Linked DNA regions of Saccharomyces cerevisiae S288C. Changing the gene in region 1 together with any one later gene gives a genetic interaction. Each region holds a gene or a part of one and is shown on either strand. Other genes may lie near its edges.

The links. A genetic interaction does not mean that the proteins touch.
Region 2: mutations in RTG2 (region 1) and UBP13 together harm fitness more than expected from each alone (negative genetic interaction), as found in Saccharomyces cerevisiae (2 studies listed by BioGRID).
Region 3: mutations in RTG2 (region 1) and LYS20 together harm fitness more than expected from each alone (negative genetic interaction), as found in Saccharomyces cerevisiae (2 studies listed by BioGRID).

The regions. Positions count from the first base shown.
Region 1 is NC_001139.9:24,526-32,385, forward strand, and holds RTG2 (Rtg2p), read right to left. Parts: upstream 2,960-7,860; coding exon 1,193-2,959; downstream 1-1,192. Other genes in the region: HXK2 (hexokinase 2), read left to right, coding at 1-870; HFM1 (DNA helicase), read right to left, coding at 3,396-6,901, 7,054-7,111; RMR1 (Rmr1p), read left to right, coding at 7,385-7,860. UniProt on the Saccharomyces cerevisiae protein: Required for a novel path of interorganelle communication between mitochondria, peroxisomes and the nucleus, thereby maintaining a functional metabolic interaction between the tricarboxylic acid and glyoxylate cycles.
Region 2 is NC_001134.8:91,193-97,560, forward strand, and holds UBP13 (ubiquitin-specific protease UBP13), read right to left. Parts: upstream 4,691-6,368; coding exon 2,447-4,690; downstream 1-2,446. Other genes in the region: AST1 (Ast1p), read left to right, coding at 1-838; ribose phosphate diphosphokinase subunit PRS4, read left to right, coding at 1,222-2,202; SEF1 (Sef1p), read right to left, coding at 5,477-6,368.
Region 3 is NC_001136.10:131,556-137,169, reverse strand, and holds LYS20 (homocitrate synthase LYS20), read right to left. Parts: upstream 3,734-5,614; coding exon 2,447-3,733; downstream 1-2,446. Other genes in the region: AIT1 (Ait1p), read right to left, coding at 1-1,274; INH1 (ATPase inhibitor), read right to left, coding at 1,734-1,991; MRX19 (Mrx19p), read left to right, coding at 5,337-5,614. UniProt on the Saccharomyces cerevisiae protein: Catalyzes the aldol-type condensation of 2-oxoglutarate with acetyl-CoA to yield homocitrate. Carries out the first step of the alpha-aminoadipate (AAA) lysine biosynthesis pathway.

The DNA of each region.
Region 1 (7,860 bases):
AAGAGGAATATCCCAATTGAAGTTGTTGCTTTGATAAACGACACTACCGGTACTTTGGTTGCTTCTTACTACACTGACCCAGAAACTAAGATGGGTGTTATCTTCGGTACTGGTGTCAATGGTGCTTACTACGATGTTTGTTCCGATATCGAAAAGCTACAAGGAAAACTATCTGATGACATTCCACCATCTGCTCCAATGGCCATCAACTGTGAATACGGTTCCTTCGATAATGAACATGTCGTTTTGCCAAGAACTAAATACGATATCACCATTGATGAAGAATCTCCAAGACCAGGCCAACAAACCTTTGAAAAAATGTCTTCTGGTTACTACTTAGGTGAAATTTTGCGTTTGGCCTTGATGGACATGTACAAACAAGGTTTCATCTTCAAGAACCAAGACTTGTCTAAGTTCGACAAGCCTTTCGTCATGGACACTTCTTACCCAGCCAGAATCGAGGAAGATCCATTCGAGAACCTAGAAGATACCGATGACTTGTTCCAAAATGAGTTCGGTATCAACACTACTGTTCAAGAACGTAAATTGATCAGACGTTTATCTGAATTGATTGGTGCTAGAGCTGCTAGATTGTCCGTTTGTGGTATTGCTGCTATCTGTCAAAAGAGAGGTTACAAGACCGGTCACATCGCTGCAGACGGTTCCGTTTACAACAGATACCCAGGTTTCAAAGAAAAGGCTGCCAATGCTTTGAAGGACATTTACGGCTGGACTCAAACCTCACTAGACGACTACCCAATCAAGATTGTTCCTGCTGAAGATGGTTCCGGTGCTGGTGCCGCTGTTATTGCTGCTTTGGCCCAAAAAAGAATTGCTGAAGGTAAGTCCGTTGGTATCATCGGTGCTTAAACTTAATTTGTAAATTAAGTTTGAACAACAAGAAGGTGCCCTTTTTCTACTTATGTGAACATGTTTTCTATGATCTTTTTTTTTCTTACTTTTACAACTGTGATATTGTATAAACTTTGTTAGAAATTCACGGGATTTATTCGTGACGATAAATATTTATATAGACAAAGAATATGACGATTTATGAAATCTACATGATTTTAGTTTCTTTTAACAATTGCTCGTTTTTTTCTCTTGCTTAATTTTAAATTTTTTTGGTAGTAAAAGATGCTTATATAAGGATTTCGTATTTATTGTTCAAGTATTTAAAGACTAGATGTCTTTATTCTTCATAAAATTGCACGCCAATTTTAACCCTCTCTACACTTCCTCTAGATAGCTTGCGTACTTTCTTTTGTAGCGTGATAATTCTGGAACGAACGGAAGCACTTGTTTTAAGATCGTCCTTACTAATTCTCACAACCACTTCATACCCGCGATTTTTACGCGTGGATTCTTCTTTTACCTTTGTAGTGTTTGCATCATCAATGATTAATTCTTTTAAACTGGTCTCCACCTCACTACGCTTAGAAACATGGAAATCAAATACGTTATCTCTGATATTACCACCTGGATGAACACCGCAAATCACATACATAATCGTACCAATATACTTCGTCCACCATACAATTCTCAATGCTTCAGCTTTATCACCTTCGCGTAGAACTACTTGTTCTAATTCTTGGGAGTATTTTTCTTCAGATTCCGGAATGTTGCCGCCCCATCTACTACATAGAGCAATTCCTATCAGCGCTCTAGCTCTGTGAGATAATCCATGACAGCCGGCTATTATCCCTCTTGTAGCAACATGTAATGCAGCTGTTGGTTGTAACTCCTTTGGATAAGAGGCATGAACAAATGCTAAGTTACATAAAGCAGGAGCAATCCTTTCGTTTACTATTTCTGGTATATCTTCTTGTGGGATTGATGTTCTCAATAGATATAGATATTTTTCAGTAAGTAATGGAGCATAAGGACGGGACGCAATTAGCAATGGATCTTGTGCACGAATTTCTTTTGGAAGAAGAGAATAAAGTGAACCCTCTCGAACACCACCCTCACTAAAATGTACAGCTTTGATCTGGGGAATCGCTTCAAAAACAGCACTCATGAACAAACCAACGGCAGGAAGTTGTAAAGCCCTTCTATCAGAAACCTTAAATATTTTATGCTCTTTTGAAGAACCTGGTATTTTTTGTTTTAGGAATAGATAATCTGACATAGACGAGAATTCTTCATAAGTGCAAGCATATCCGTTAATTATTGTTTGGATGGGATAACCTTCCGACTGGTAAAGAAGCAGATGTCCCATACCTCTTAAACCACCCCCACGGGTCCAAAGGTCAAATCCACCTTCTTTCTTGGCGTCATCAATCATTTCTTGAGGTATACCAATTTTTTCAATCGCATCTTTGTACGCTTCTTTAATCTCATAAAAAAGTGCCCTATTATCATCTGTTCTCATTCTTCTCAAAAGAGTTCCAGCTCCATATGGCAAAGATACAGGTTTGCTGGATTGCTTGACTTCTCCGTGCGAGCTTATTACCCATGATAACTGAGTACTACCACCTGCCACATCTAGATATAGACCTCTTACTGTATTAAATGAGGAAACAACACCATATATGCCGACCCTAGTTTCATCTTCCTGGCCTAATATTTCTACTTTCCAGCCAGTGCTACCGTAAACAGCATTAACAAATTCATCCGCGTTAATAGCATCTCGCGTGGCTTCTGTTGCAATTACTCTGACACTAGTTTCAGGTACACCAAAATCATCGCAAATTAATTTGAATCTCTTCATGGCAGAACAAACCTCTTTTATAATATCTCTGGGAATAGGGCATTTTGCGTTCGTATGTGTATTATATTGAACTTCGTATAGAGAAAGACCAACCCTATCTTTAAAAACACAAGGCATAATTCTTGCATGATGTGCAGCCTTGGAAGATATACTAAAACGAATACCATTAGAACCTATGTCGACGATTCCACACAAGTTTCTCGACACGACCTCAGTCTCGGTATCACTATCGCTAAGTGTTGACATTTGTGGCACGCCTACACTTTTCGTTCAAAACAATCCTTAGTAAAGGACACTTCCAAGAGTGAGTTTCTTTTTTAAAAGGTACATATGAATGAATTACTAATCTCACTTCGATTCTTTCAATTGATCTAGGAACTCCGCCGGCAAAGTTATCCTATCTCGGCATTCTGACCCGGATCGCTTATCGCGGTCATGTGACTAATAATTGAAATGATAAATAGCACGATATGTAACAATAGTAATATATCAATTGACAATGTCATCTTGTTCCCTAATAAATAGTAAAGGTTCCAATTGTTTCACCACTGGCTGCATTTTAAAAACAAAGCATTATAAGTAAACTCTCACACATGCTAACTTCTGTTGGGAAGCAATACAAATAACAGAAAGGATTGGGGTAATGAATATCAGTAATGTCTATTGTTCCCGGCCATGCCGCTCATTCAAACTCTATATCGGAACCCAAGAAATCCAGATCACCATTCGGATCACTTATTGAGCTCGCCGCTGTATTACTAGAATAACTATCGGATGATTCAAGATCAATAGGAATTATTTCAGGGCAGTTTTCGGGGCCTGATTTTAGGACTTGTTCACCCGCTTCCATAGACGACATCTGTTGCGATAGATTATAAATTTTTGAAGGAAGTGTATGAACTGTCGCAATATCTGTATTTTCTTCTTGCCACTGCTTTGGTTTACTATTCAGTCTTTTTTCCAGGTGAGGGGTTGTGTTGATATTTTTTGCAAGCAGTGGCTGGCGTATTTGATCAGGTTTTGATACTGGCTTGATTGAGGAGGGTCCTTTTTCTTTTATATACTTTACTGGAATACCCTCTTTACAACATAAATGTCTGCATTGCGTTTTGTCTTTGCAGCTATGAAAACACTCGTAATTGCCATTAGATCTTACTTGGCGGCCATTACTAAAATGTGAAGAAGAGTGTGCCTCCGGGTGAATAACTGCTGCAGATTCAACCGCCTTTGATGATTTCTTCCTTTCATTCAAATAATCTAGTATACTATCATCTGAGGATAGCGATTCTTCTAATCCATCTTTATGGGAAACCCTAGACGTTTTCCCCACTTCTCCGTCACTACTGCTTTCATAGAAGAGGCATTTTTCTAAACTATTTAGATCTTTCCTTATATTTGGTGTCTTCGCAGAGAACTGTGATGCCAAATGATCAGTGGAATATACGATTGTTTTGCCGAGTCCGGCGATTTCTTGGCAATGAATTGAGAATTCTATTTTTTCTAGTTTTGGTGATATTTTTGCTGAAATTCTAAAGCCCCTTGGTGACTGTAGTTTGTTAACTTGCAATCTTCTAAAGTCGATTAACTCTCCTGAGCTTTTCTCGGTTTCGATATCTAATGAGAGGTGCTGACCATGCCAAATGCTAGACTTGAATGTTGCACTAATCTCAACTTTAAATGTCAACCACAACTCTTCATTTTCTATTTTGCAATTTTCTAGTTTTGTTCTAATATTCAGACAAGGCAACAAAGAAATGTCGTTTTTAATTTTTATGCCGTTTCCAATCTTGAGGTTAAGATAGTATTCAATCTGAGTATCTGACAAATGCCCCATTTCTTCTAGATTGGTAATTCCATGTCGTATTAGCCTTCTTACTGAAACTAGTCCAATTGTTTTCAATTGCCTAAGAACCATTGGCGTGTTTTCCCAGCAGTGACCATTCAGGCTTCGCAGTAAGAACAAAGTATTTTTCAGTGATGTTCCATCACTTTTTTCAATAAATGTGTCTACCATGCATTTTAGTAATCTAAAACAATGTCTAAAAACGAGGAATTTATCCTGAACAAGAGTTTGATGTAGTTTAGAAGCGCCTTCGTATGATGGAAATTCTAACCCACCTAACTCATATTGAATCAAAAGAGAAACCTTTTGACTAACCCTGTCAATTATTTGGCTCTGTTTCTTCTCGGTTAAAAATGGATATTTCAAAAGTGGCGATAAATTGATTTCTTTGAACAATTTTTTTTCATTGTGCCTCACCCTCATAACTGAAAACTCTTCAGAAGTGGCCAGTAAATTTAGTATCCCTTGTAATGATAGAAATTTTTTTGCGTTAATGAATTGTTTCATCGACTCAAAGGATATATAATGTCGCGTCATTGCATTTCCGTACGCTGTAGATTTGTACTCCCCATTGCTGATATCGATTATTTTCACTTTTACTAAGGTGTCAAGCAAATACTGACAGAATTGATTTATCTGAGAGTCTTCAACGGAATGAAAACTAACGTATCTGTTCACCTCTTGATATGCAGCTGGATTCTTCCCAAATCTAACGTAAAAGAATGTGTTTCGTAGCCAATTTACTGCAGTTTCAATTGAATATACAGTTTCCAAAGAGGTTTCTGCTGCTAAATGCTCGATCAAATTCAAATGTAATGAACTTTCCAAAACGTCAGTTCCATGAATTAAGTTTTCATATGTTTGCTTCATTTTAGAGTCTGTCATGATTACTGCGCACCCGTGAGTTTCAAATTGAGGTCTTCCTGCCCGCCCAATCATTTGCAGTACATCTAGGTCTGAATACTCTTGGATTTCAGAAGAGTTCCAACTTTTGGTGCCTTTGATAATGACCAAATATGCGGGAAGGTTCACACCAACAGCTAACGTTGAAGTTGAACACAATATATTAATTGAACCTGCAAGAAATTCTTTCTCAACGGCAGTACGGTCTTCTAAAGAAATTCCAGCATGATGGAAAGCGATACCTTGTTGCATACATTCATTTAATATTTTATCGGAGGGATTATGATTACATCTTTTCTTACTTTTTGAAAAAATATGATTATTTAATAAAAATTTTGCTGTTGATATAGTTGAAGCCCTAGTCGGACAAAATATTAGTACGGGACGATTATCGGCATGCTTTTCAATTATTTCAATCAATTTGGAATTATATATAGCATCTTTTTGGAAGTCATTTTTGCAATTGAAGGAGTACCCATAAACAAACTTCGTTAACTGAACTTGCCTGTACGATTCGTCAAAAGAAAGAATATTTGCAGGAAGCTCGTTGTTAGTTTTGAGCCACAATGCTAGGTCTTCTATATTTGGAACTGTTGCACTTAAAGCAACAAACCGAATGTTTTGACACATTGTATTCATCCTTGTCAGAATTACTTCCAAAGATGCTCCTCTTTTCTCCTTTATGGTATGAATCTCATCAACTAGGACAAGTTTGACCAATTCGAATAATCGGCTGTAATCGGACCATCTTCTTGTTAACAAATCCCATTTTTCTGGTGTCGTAATTATTATGTTACATTTTTTAGCCTTTTCAGTTTCCAGAAAAGAGGTATCACTAGTAAGCATACCAACAGAAAGATTCACAAAGGAAGGAAACCAGTTCTTGTACATCTCGTAACATAGAGATTTGGTTGGCGCGATGTATATAATTTTGGTGTTATTGGTATCACTATTTGTTTCCTTTATAAGACGTAATATTGCCAATTCAAATAATACAGTCTTGCCTGATCCGGTTGGTGAAGAAATTATGCAGTTCTCGTTACTCTCATAAATACTAGGAAAAGCCTCTGATTGCATTTTATTAAATTCTGTAAATTTAAAAACCCCTCTGAATGAATCTGGTAATATGGTCGTGCTCAAACATTTCTTCGCTGATTTCCTTATCGTGACCTTCTTAGGTTTCTTCGCCTCTTCATCAGGTGTCTGCTCTAAATCGTGATCAAATAATTTACTAGTTACTTGTGTATCATCTGCTGTTATTGAAAAATTATCGTCTTTGTCGAAGAATTGCAGACCACGGCCCTCAAATATTTCCTCTGTTTCATTTTCATCATCACAATCATCCAGTAAACTGTTATAAGACAAACCTACTTTAAAACTTGGTTGGCGGCTATTTTTCTTATTTCTTTTAAATGTAGCAGACTGGTCGTTAAAGTCAATATCTATAAGTCCTCTGAAATTCTAGTCCAGAAAAACCACTTTTGGTTGCATTTCCGCTAGATAATAAAAGAAAGAGGTAACAATGTTAGTCAAAATACTGTTGTTGTCCGATATGGTGTAAACTGATAAGGGTGTTGCTAAGCTTCGTTACTACTATTTGGAGAGGGTCTACTTCTTTTTCCTGTACCGAGGCGATCAAACTTTGTTTTCATCCTTACGACGCCTCTTAAGTTGTCAAATCCACCTTGAGGTATCAATCATTTTCAATGAAAGGATTTCTTGATAGATGATACTAATAGTCCCGTTTTGTTTATAATCCGGGGCAAAGTCTAAATACCCGCCGAGCCTGCATCCATTCGTGGTACATGATATGTTAAAACTACAACAAGGCATAAAAAAGGGAAGTATATATGATTAATTATATATACGTAAAGGAAAAGATACGTAGTTAAAGATTGTTTTTGTTGGTATCAATGGAATCAAAGATGAGTGAAGAAGAAGCGCATAAAACAGTGGAGGTGGATGACGTCGGGGTTCAATTGGATGAGGGCGATGAAGAAGACCTTTTGGAGTATGATGATGAACTCGTGGAGGAACAACCATCGGACGCCCGTATACGCAACGTGGCAGAGACTTTAATGAAAAGCGAATTGCCCAAAGTCACCGTGGAATATAAAGATACTACATTTCTGTTGTTCACGTCGGATGATAAGAACGAAAGTAACAACCCCATAATATGTGAAAACGCTGCTCTTTATCAGCGACCCATGGGGGAATTCATGGAATCCATTCGTAAATTTATGGGAAATCGTTTTGGCAGGTTGGCTTTTGCTACGAAGGAGTTGGTTTTACAACTGAAAAGCCTCGATTTGACCTTGTTCGAAGATAATGTCTACAACAACCATATTTCATTCAGCGATGTTTATACTATATTTAAAATCCTGAAGGAAAGATCGGAGTC
Region 2 (6,368 bases), on another chromosome or scaffold:
AATCTTAGTAGATCCAAAGGTGGACCCAATCCTTTTGAGACCAGAATCGGTTAGCGCCGAAGAAGCTGCAGGCTCCTTATTCTGCCTGGCCACCGGCTATAATATTCTGAATAAATTATCCAAGAACAAGTATTTGAAGCAAGATTCAAACGTTTTGATTAATGGTGGAACTTCGTCAGTGGGGATGTTTGTCATACAATTATTGAAGCGTCATTACAAGTTACAGAAAAAACTAGTGATTGTAACGTCTGCAAATGGGCCCCAAGTTTTACAGGAGAAATTTCCTGATCTGGCTGATGAAATGATTTTCATCGATTACTTAACGTGTAGGGGTAAATCTAGTAAACCACTAAGAAAAATGCTCGAAGAAAAGAAAATTTCTCAGTATGATCCGGTCGAGGATAAGGAAACTATACTTAACTATAATGAGGGGAAGTTCGATGTTGTACTCGATTTTGTCGGTGGTTACGATATTTTGAGTCATTCTAGTTCATTGATTCACGGCGGTGGTGCGTACGTAACCACTGTAGGTGATTACGTTGCCAATTATAAAGAAGACATTTTCGATTCATGGGATAACCCAAGTGCCAATGCAAGAAAAATGTTCGGGTCTATTATCTGGTCATATAACTACACACATTACTATTTTGATCCGAATGCAAAGACGGCTTCCGCCAATAATGATTGGATTGAGCAATGTGGCGACTTTTTGAAGAACGGTACTGTAAAATGTGTCGTCGACAAAGTTTATGACTGGAAAGACCATAAAGAAGCATTTTCTTATATGGCCACTCAACGTGCCCAAGGAAAGTTAATCATGAACGTCGAAAAATTCTAGATACCCACTTACATTTACAATATGTTTTATTTTTAAACTTAATGAACTTCATAATTTAATGCTTAATATTTTCCCCCTCCCACCTTCTCCTGGCGTTCTCTGTACGTACATAACCATTTATTTTAATATATAATCAAATATTGTAACAATTGAAGCAGATGAGTCTCGCTCCTTAGTTAAGCACGTGCCGATGATATCAATTGGATTTGTTAGCAAATCAGCCTTGCTGCTCGATTCTCTGCTTTTTTTTTACTTCTCGGTCATTGAAAAATCCTGACGAAAATATTTCAAGGTCCTATATGGTCATCGACCTTGAGCATGTGGTAGACTACATAATGCACATAGACTCTCAGCTTCAACTCCACAAGGCTTCTCCAGCAAAAATGAATTCAGAGTCTCGAGAAGATATGGCTATAAATAGTATCAAATTGCTAGCGGGAAACTCCCATCCTGATTTGGCTGAACAAATATCGAAAAAGTTAGGTATTCCACTTTCCAAAGTTGGTGTGTACCAGTATTCTAATAAAGAAACCTCTGTCACCATAGGTGAGAGCCTTCGCGACGAAGATGTGTATATTATCCAAACTGGAATAGGTGAACAAGAAATTAATGATTTCTTGATGGAATTATTAATTTTAATTCATGCTTGCAAAATTGCATCTGCAAGAAAGATCACTACTGTAATACCCAATTTTCCATATGCAAGACAAGACAAGAAAGATAAATCCCGGGCGCCCATTACCGCAAAGTTGGTTGCCAATTTATTGCAAACTGCTGGTGCTGATCATGTCATCACAATGGATCTCCATGCCTCCCAAATTCAAGGGTTTTTCCATATCCCGGTTGACAACCTATATGCAGAACCAAGTGTTTTAAATTATATTAGAACGAAAACAGATTTCGACAATGCTATTTTGGTGTCGCCTGATGCAGGTGGTGCTAAGAGAGTAGCTGCTTTGGCTGACAAGTTAGATTTAAATTTTGCTTTGATTCACAAAGAGAGGCAAAAAGCTAACGAGGTTTCAAAAATGGTGCTTGTTGGTGATGTTACCAATAAATCATGTTTATTAGTTGATGATATGGCGGATACTTGTGGTACGTTGGTAAAAGCTTGTGATACGTTGATGGAGCATGGTGCCAAAGAAGTTATAGCTATTGTTACACACGGTATTTTCTCCGGTTCAGCAAGAGAAAAGCTAAGAAATAGTAGATTGTCTAGAATTGTTTGCACAAATACCGTTCCGGTAGATTTGGATTTACCTATTGCTGACCAGATCGATATTAGTCCCACGTTCGCTGAAGCTATAAGAAGACTACACAATGGTGAATCCGTGTCATATTTGTTCACCCATGCTCCAGTATAGGACAATTTTTTATTCTTAGATTCCTGATTGCTTGCATGCCTAAATACTTCATAATTGTATTAGTTTAAAAGAAAACCTTTTACTGAGACAAAACTATAAATTTAAGAAAAAGGTTCCGGAGCCGGTTTAAAAAAAGAAGATTAAAGATATTATATTTATGTAAGAATTAAATTAATACTGTCAGAGAAAAAATAGTTTTAAAGGAGACGGTGAACCTTTACCTTCCTTGATATGCAAATATTTTTCAGCTTTTCCTAAAACTAAACATTCTCGACTTTTTTTTAGAAGACTTTATGGGTGTGTTAGAAACAAAGCTGTCGTCTATAGCAGTATCCAAATCGTCTGCTATAGGCAGCTCTTCCTTTTTCTTTTGACCACTATTGCAAGTTCTTAGCCAATCATCGTACTTGATTAGATTGTCTATATTATCATCTTGTTCTTTTGCCATATTTTCACGATCATTCTTTTCAACAGCGTTTGAATACATCGCTTTATAAAACAAAACATATGCTGTTGCCATATTTGGAGATTCACCTGTGAATTCTAACACTGTTTCCTCTTTAACTGCCTCTACCGTTTCGTCATCAAATAACAACCAGCCAAACTTTTCATGTTTACATAGGGAAACATAATGGCCGTGTTGTGGCCCACCGCCCATATGAACGACAATCCCAGCCAATTCATACTTTTGACAAACCTTAGAATTTATTGAAGAGCAAACATTTAGCGTCAGAGGATAGTGAATGTTATTAAAAAGCTTAATATTACAGTTTTGTTTCTCAGAATACTTGAATCTTTTCAAGTGTAATGTTAAAGTATCAGGCAATTGCTTCAAACCAACTAATCTCTCTGCCTCCTGTAAACCGCAACATTCGTCACAATAAAACTTGTTTGAGCCATTTAGCATTTCTCGCTGGTGATAACTTTTCAAAATTTCCTGTATATCTGTTTCCTCATCTCCCTGAACTTCTATGGGGAAATCCAAAAATGGCTCATCCCTAGATGTAATGTTATCGCACGTCAGACATTTTATTTGATTCGTTAAAGTGCCTTGAAACAAGTCACTGATGAAATTTTTACTCTTACTCGGTTCGCTATCGCTGTTGATATCACTGGCTGCTATTTTTTTATTCTCACGTTCTATATATTCACTCAACTCGTTTAATAAGAAATTGAAAAATTCGTGAGCATCCTGATGCATAGTAGTATTAAATAATACATTTTCTCTTTTGAGAACATCAACAAAAGAGCTAGGCGATACAACACCAGTTAAATACGTATTCTCAGTTATGCATTCAAAGATATCTCTCAAACTGGAATACAAAGTAGCCTTATCTGAGCCGTTTAAGCTATGGTCAATATTGAGCACTGGCCCACGAATAAGTGCGGATTTCTTTCTATGTTCTGGGGATATTTGAGAAGAGGAACTAGATCTTCTAGTATCTTTTTTATCAAGTGGAGTGGATAAGCTGCTATTACTTTCTCCTTTCAAGTCCAGGTTATTACTATTACTGCTACCTCTTGAAGGATTTTCATAATTGAGAACTCTGCCAACAATTATTTTACGCGGAACATCCGGAGGTCTATCTGTGACGTTCTCGAAACTCAATCTGCTCGGAGCACCAGGCTCATTAGGTGTTTCGACTATCAATGGAGGTGCGTCTTGAGGACGAGAAGAGGGTTTTCCAGTGGTTAATATAGCAGGACTTCCTTCCTTTTTATTATTGTCTTGTACATGTTTCGCGCTAAAACTTTTAAAAAATTTACTCTTCTTCTCTGAAGGCCCAGCTGTATTTGAATTTACAGAATTTACAGGGGTAGGCTTTCCATCATCAACAGATTGAGGTTTAGGGTTAGGCAAATGTCCATTGGTACCAGCAATGCTTTTCTCAAAACTTGCTTCGGTAAATATTCTTGGTTTCTTACCTCTCATTTCTTTCTTTCTTGGTTGATCAGATTCTCTTGATTTTTTTGGAAATTGCAATATATTTTCACGTAATGAGGACAGATTATAGAGACATTGAAGAACTGAGTTACAGTAACATGTATTGCCAAAATTTTCGTATCCAAAAACTTTGTTGGAGCCGTCTCCATAGGGCATTGAGTCGGACACCTTCATAGCTAATATGGGTGCCTCGGGCCCTTGCGTGATAATGCCTCCGTATGCGTTTATAGCCTTTGCGTTTGAAATATAAAATATCCCATCCTGGCTGTAATTACTGCCTTGATTGCACGTTTCAGAAGAATAGTCTAGTCCGGAAGAAATCTGCAAATTATTGTCTTCATTCAAAAAAGTTTCCTTGGTATCCAAATTAGAGACAAACAATGAGCTAGAGGGATTATCGGATGATTCGCTATAACAGAGTTCATCATTTATATCGTGGTTTACAGGCTTAAAGTCAACCTTTTCTACTTCTTCTGTAATGGTATCATTAACAGCCTTTTTCTTCTTCCCAGACTTACTTATAGTTAGCCATCTTCTGATCATGATTGCGCCCTTCTTGCGTGGGTTTAGTATGTTAATGAAAGTACTGGATCCTTACTAAAGCCGAATTTGGCCCCTTCAACAAATAAAGCTTGATGAGTTGAACAGTCAAAGGGTAAGATCTGGTATAGGCAATAATAATATTATCCAAATGGAAAAAAAAAAAATGAACAGGTGAAAAAAAATCAATTTGAAAACCAAAGAAAAACTCTATTGATTCCTTTGCTGTTGTCGACCTTCTTTCACACAATAGTTCAATTACGTTCTTTGGGTTCTTTATCTTTATAGTTATCTTGCCTCATCTCTATGTTCAACACTTTCGGATCGATGTATTTTTCAGCCTTCCGCTAAAATTGACGACCGTCTCCAAACGAATAGGGATAAAGAAGCAAGGACTGAGCGTTGGAGAAAAAAAAAAAGTTACCGGAATGGGAATAGATAGATACCTATAAGAAGCGTTATCGTTACTCATGAATTTTGGTAAATGCACACGGATAAATGCATGATATATAAAATATTAATAAGAATAAAATAAATAGGTAGTGAATAAATATTCTACTTTGGTGTGGTCATCATTTTACAAAGGAGGGAGGTCGTGATAACAAACTGATAAATAATCCTTAAGTTGATCCATTCTTGAATATTGTTACATTGGAAATAATCCGAAAAAGAATATGTATAAATAAAAGGACTCGAAGTCCTATGTAGCCGTCTTTGCAAATTTTCTTTAATAAATTAGCAGAAAACAAGGGTAATAATATTTCTTAGAATATTAGAAGAATATAGGCGTTAAAAACCTTGTTCCATGTTCATATCGAACCAACCAAAAAAGTCATCATTACTGGAGTTGCCTTCAATCCAGCCTGCACTTTGTTGCTGAAAAAAATCCGTTAGTTTGTTTCCAGGAGTCTTCACGTTGTTTTCATTATCGATGGTTTGGAAGTTAGAAGAAGTTACAGTGTTAGTGCCCGTAGAAAATCGTTGGTTCGTTTTGTTGCTATTGATATCATTACTTTTGGAAAACAAGCTCAGAGGTGGATATGCCGTGCTTTTAGAGGAGCCGGGGTCGGAAACGACGGAATGCAAATCTGTCATATTATTTGACTTCGAAGCAATCGGTGTACGTGAATGGGACATACTACTTTGTGATCTTCCAATCGCGTTGGCGTTGCTGAATTGATTATTATAATTCATGGTGACATTTTGTAAATTACTGTGCTCCCTTGGAATAGGGTGGTCTATTCCCAATGTAACATTATTAGATAAGTTGCCAACGGGGTGGTTCCTTAACCCTGGAACGGACGCAGGAAAATGATTAACGGGAGTGCTTACTGATCTTTTCATGGAGAGATCAGGAATTACACTAGGTCCGTTACTATAATAGTCTACCTTAGTACTTTGTGGATTGTTATTCGAAGCGGGGACAGAAGCCACTGGATAAATTGAATTAGAGGGAATTGATATGTCATTAGACGCATCCAATAACGTCCTATTATTATTATAATCGTTACTATTCGAGGTATTAGCGAATAAACTTTGAAATTTTACGCTGCCTGTTTCCCCGAGCATGGAAAGAGGTATCCCGTTAATCTCCATTATAGAACCGTCAGAATCTCCGTTATTTGTCTTGGCTAGCTTTTCTGCCTGCTTTAAGGCATTCTTAGTAGGAACTAAAGTGGTA
Region 3 (5,614 bases), on another chromosome or scaffold:
TTAAACCAATCGTCTAGCTCTCTTCTTAAATATATCGAAGTGTTGATGAGGAAGTTTAGAGATATGAAAGGAATTATTACGCATAAGATGAAATTTGAAATGGTTCTTGAGCCGAAGTAGTTCACCACGGGAGTAAATAATCCTTCATGGCCGCGAACATAGACGAAATACATCGACAGAATCAATGATTCCCCAATTGTCAACATGATATTACTACCAACTACCAATATCATTAACAATAAACCGGTGACCAACTGGTATGCCGTGCTAAATGCAATAAATCTCTTTATCGGTGTGAAGCTTTTAGTAGTATTTTGTGTATTTTCATTAGGAACTGCCCATGTATAACCAAAAGATTTCTTCAAAATGGGCTGTTCTTCGTCTATGGGGAAACTCAAATCACCCGTATCTAGAGTTGTCAACTTTAATGAATTGTCGATGGGGTTCATCATGATAATTGTATCGTCCTGCGAATTATCTGGTACATGCAGCTGCTTCTTATTTTCATGAGGTTGCTGTCGTATGCTGCCATAAGTTGATGACGATGAACGTAGAGGTTTGATTGGATGGTACTCAGACGAGTATACGTTATTCGATATGGAAGATGAGTCATTTCTTACTTCAATACATTTGGACAACGTAATATCACTTCTGTCTACGACGTTGGGGCGATATTCTGTACTACAACCGCAGTCATCGTTATGGCTCATATCATTATTGTTACAGTAAGTGTTGGCGCTTTCCTGGTGTGTGAAGCCACTATTAATGTTTGGATCGGCGATTTCTTGGTAGTTAAACAAATTCCCTATTATGCATATGGTGAATTCACCCAGGGCCCATGATATACCAAAGATATAGGCTTGTCTTGGAATGATGTGCCAAGAACATTCCTTATGCTTGATCGTACCGCCTTCGTGATCTTGCACCTGAGGGTACGCTAAACCAATCAGTATCAAAAGCATAAAGACGTCGTTGATAGGAAAATCCACTATCAGGTTCAATATTAAAAACCTTTGATTTATATTGAATAGAAAGGTCTTCAGGAAATAATAAAGAAATGGTGAAAAAAGCCCCAAAAGAAAGGTCCTGAAATAGTCCTGCGAATTTGGTTTGAACATCAATGGATCATCATACTGGTGTAGCAGTAATTCGGACGACGCATAGAATAGTGAAAACAGTGAAATACTAAACAGCGCAGAAAGTATCACTATGTGAGGCCTTGTGGAGCAGAAAATAGGCATAAAATATGATGCTGCATGATTTAATCGGACCATATTCAGATATATTTCACAGGTATCTTTCTTTTGTGTAAAGAATACGAGGTATGATTTAAAACGTCAAAGAATGGAAGAGAAATTTTGAATGCGAAGAGATGCTAAGTATATTCTTGGTGTTAGGCTAAGCTTGTTGAAACAAAAAAGAAGGAATTTTGAAATTTCGTATCTTAAGTATGGACTATTGACGTTATTTGGAACTTTTCCATGTTCCACACTGTTCCTATCTTTCTATGCCTTTCCGCATTGGGACGAACTTTGCGCGAAGTGGAAATAATGAGTGACATTAGTCAGACAGACAAGAGGAAAATTCAAACCAGAGGAAAACTAGAATGATAGTTATCGAAAATGCAAAAGCTCAGTGTGATGTATTATTATATAGTTTTTCTGCTGTTTGACTATAAAAGAGTAAGAATATTCTAAAAAAAAAAAAAAAAAAGCTTCTGCGGAAACGCATGATTATTTGGTCATCGAGTCAATTTTATTTTCCAAAGAATCAATCTTCTTTCGTTGTTTTTCCAGTTGTTCTTTCAAATGGCGTAGTTGCTCCTTCTCACGCTGCCTAACGAAGAAGTCTTCCGTGGCCCTTTCCCTTTTAACAAACGAATCCTCTGAGCCTGACCCTCTTGGGGTGCCGGTAGAACCTTCAGAGTAGAACCTTGCGGCCACACCGCGCTGTAATTGCAATGAGCGTGCTAATGCTGAACGTGGTAACATATTCTATTGTGGAACTGTATAAAAGTGTGCTGTAGTAATGCGTGTAAAATGCACTCCTTTGGGATAGCAAAAACAAATTCAACCACGAACAAATTCAAAGAAAGTTTTAAACAAGATACAACAAGTCAAGTTATGAACCCCTCCTTCTCTAACGATTGTTAACGCCTTTTCTAGCCCCAAAACCTCGTTGCAGTGGAAAACGATGGGTGTCAGCAACTAGACAGTTGATTGGCATAATTGTGAATATCTGGATATTTGGTACCCGCAGCAGCCTCCCCTTATTCTGCCGCGAATGCGCGCGTCTGATTGGCCCGGCATCACGGGAGAGTAAATCTTCTTCTTTTAATGCGTATCGGACAAAGTAGATGGGAAAAAACATCATTTAGATATGTAGATGTAGATGCTATATATCGTATGTAATAAGTGAAAGAACATAATGTAATGGTTTGGGAACGTTAGGCGGATGGCTTAGTCCGCTTGGCGGCGGGGATGGTGGCCAGTTCCGGTACATCGCTGTCATTCTTCTTGTTCTTTTTTGCAGATAGTACTTGAGGAGTGCTGACCTCTGCGTGGAAGTTCTTGATGATAGAGTCAACATCATCGATATTCAGCGATCTGACATCACCCAGCTTCTTAATCTTAGCAGTAACTTCCTTGATTTGGTCATCCGTCAAGTTCAAGTTCAACTGGTCGACTCTGGCTTTGATGGCGTTCCAGCCAGTTAGTCTGTTGGCGAAGTGGATATACCTCTTCATACCGAAATCGTGAGGGTCCAAGATTTCGTAGGTAGATGGGTTAGCCAAAATGGCCTTGGCATGGATACCTGCTTTATGTGTGAATGCACAGAACCCGGTGATAGGGTTGTTGAATGGAATGTTAACTTCCACAGCATCAGCGACCAGGTTTTCAATGTCTCTGATCTTGTGCAACTTGTATTTGGACTTGACATAGTCTGGTGCGGCAACAATCATTCTTGCCATGAGCCCACCTAGAGGAGTGATACCGTTTCTTTCACCAATACCCAGTACACTGACGTCAATCAATCTGGCACCACCTTCCAAAGCAGTGTAGGCGTTTGCAATGGCACAACCAGTATCGTTGTGGAAATGGCATTCGATGTCACATGAAACAACACTCTTCAAAGTTCTGATCAGTTCATATACTTGTCTTGGGTTGGCACATCCAACTGTGTCGGCAATACCGACTCTATTTACACCGATCTTGTCAACGGTTTTATAAATGTTCAAAAGATCAACGAGATCACTTCTGAAGGAATCTTCAGAGGAAAATCTGATTTCAATACCTTTGGATTTGACAAATTCAATGACTTCAACAGCACTCTTGGCGATGTAGTTCATATCCTTACCGTGGGAATATTGTCTTAAAAATTTGGAGGTGCCGATAACGACATCGACACCGTCGACACCAGTCTCTACGGCGACTTTGGCGTCATCCATATGACAACGAATGTGTGTAAGGATCTTGGCCTTTAAACCTAGTTTACATATAGCTTCACAGTCCTTTCTTGATTGTTCAGATGCTACTGGTGAGGTTAACTCGATGTAGTCCACACCGAAATCGTCCAAGGCTCTAGCAATTTCGATCTTTTTTTCAGTATCGAAGAATGCGTTGGCAAATTGTTCACCTTCTCTCAGCGTCGAATCGATTAACTGGAAATTATTTACATTAGAAAGATAGTCGCCCGGTTTGGCAGCATATGGATTTGGTTTAGCAGCAGTCATCTTTAGGAAAACAATACAGGGTCCTTCCTTTGTTTGTTATGTAGATAAGAAACAAGAATAAACTAAACGGGAACATATCAAATACACTTTATCGATAAGCAGCCAATATCATTTATATATATCATCATCGGGTATTTAAGCAGGTGTAAAAAATGGCCAGCGATGAGGCCCTTAAAACTTGGTAATAATATTACTCACGCATCATCGTCAGCAAGAACCTAAAGCGCAAATTAAATTATTGCCTATTGCTCTAATGTCGTCGTCGTCCACTACCGAAGAGAAAATTCCCCAGCAATTTTGGTCATATTTTTCAACCATGAATAAGGGATAGTGGGACAAGGCCAGGCCATTGTGACATTACTCATTTTTTTGCCACTTGCAACGCTAGTAACGCCGTATCCACAGAGAAACCGGGAGTGGCGCGAAGAGATCTTTTTTTTCTTTTACTACGTGTGATCCTCTAAAGAATTCTTTTTCTCAACCTAGCAAAGTAACCCACGCTTAAACTTCCTTGCAGAGAGTTCCCGTCGGAATTTGTTTTTTTCTTACTAAAACTACGCAATATTCCGGCGGAATTTGACGCAGACGTAACATCAGTCATCAGTTAATTTAGAATAACGATGAGCCAGCTGATCGGGTACTGTGGACGGAGTTTATAAGGAAGAGAAAATGCTGAGTGCATTAGTCATAAGAGAGGAGCGTGATCTGTAATTCCCTCTGCCTGTGCGGATCACTTCCTACAATTTATTTTGTAAAAGAGAGCACGTCTGTAGTTTCAAACAAAATCACCAACTGTGCTTTGTTCGAATACCCAGGGAACTGTTTGTTCGTCGAATCGAGATAATAGCAAACAAGAGTCTCGGTTGAGTAAACGCTCATAGACAAGAAACTAGGAACATGGCTAAAATCTTGCATCGATGTAACATTAATATAAATAGTTTGCAGCAACCGATTTACACAAAAACTGAATCTCAAGCGCACGCAGTATACCAAATTTGGTTCCTAGAGTTTTTTATATGGGCGGCTAACCTTGGAGAGATCAAAAAAGTGTACTTAACTACGAATGACATTTTAGAGGGTTTCAAGCGTATTATAATGAGATAATCTTTCAGCTGGTAGCAATTATGGTCTAATAATTTTTCGTTTATTCGGCCCTCAACCATTTGTTGAGCTTATACCGATTTAGAGCCCATAAAACGTCGTGATAATCCGCAACTTCCACGCTACCACTTTCCACCATCTATCAAAAAAAATAAGAAAATTACCATGTGTAACAGCTCCTTCCATAATTTGAAGCAGGCTGTGTTTATTCAGTTCTTCGTTTGTTTTTCTTACTTCAACGCTCCTTGTTCGATAGCTTTATTTTCTTGTTTTTCCTCCACTTTTGGATGGATGGACTTGACGGCTGTCTCCGCCGGGGAGTAAGCATCGGGCATTGTGCCAAGATAGTATCTAAAGGGTGTGCTATCTGGCACAGTTTCAGTTACTAGTTAGCCATGAAATTTTTCCTTTTCAACGTAGCAGTATCCATATCATTGCTCTTCATCGATAGAATCATTTTATCACAATACCAAAACTTCATCCGGTGTATTTTAGATTAAAGATGATACGTTCAATATTTATACCGCCAACTAGTATAACTGCCACTTCTCGACTGTTCTACGGAATGAGGGCGTATTCAACAAAACTTGAAAAGGCTTCACTCCAAAAATATCTGCATGATCCTGTTAAAGTGACTGTGATACCAATAACGGACAAAGAATCATTCATTTACTATAAGCATACCGATAATCTCTTTAATAGTCAGTCTAGAATATTAAAAGCAGAAAAGTGGATCGTTGAGAAATCAGCAAAGCTTTGGAGAAAACTGAAAAAGTCCCC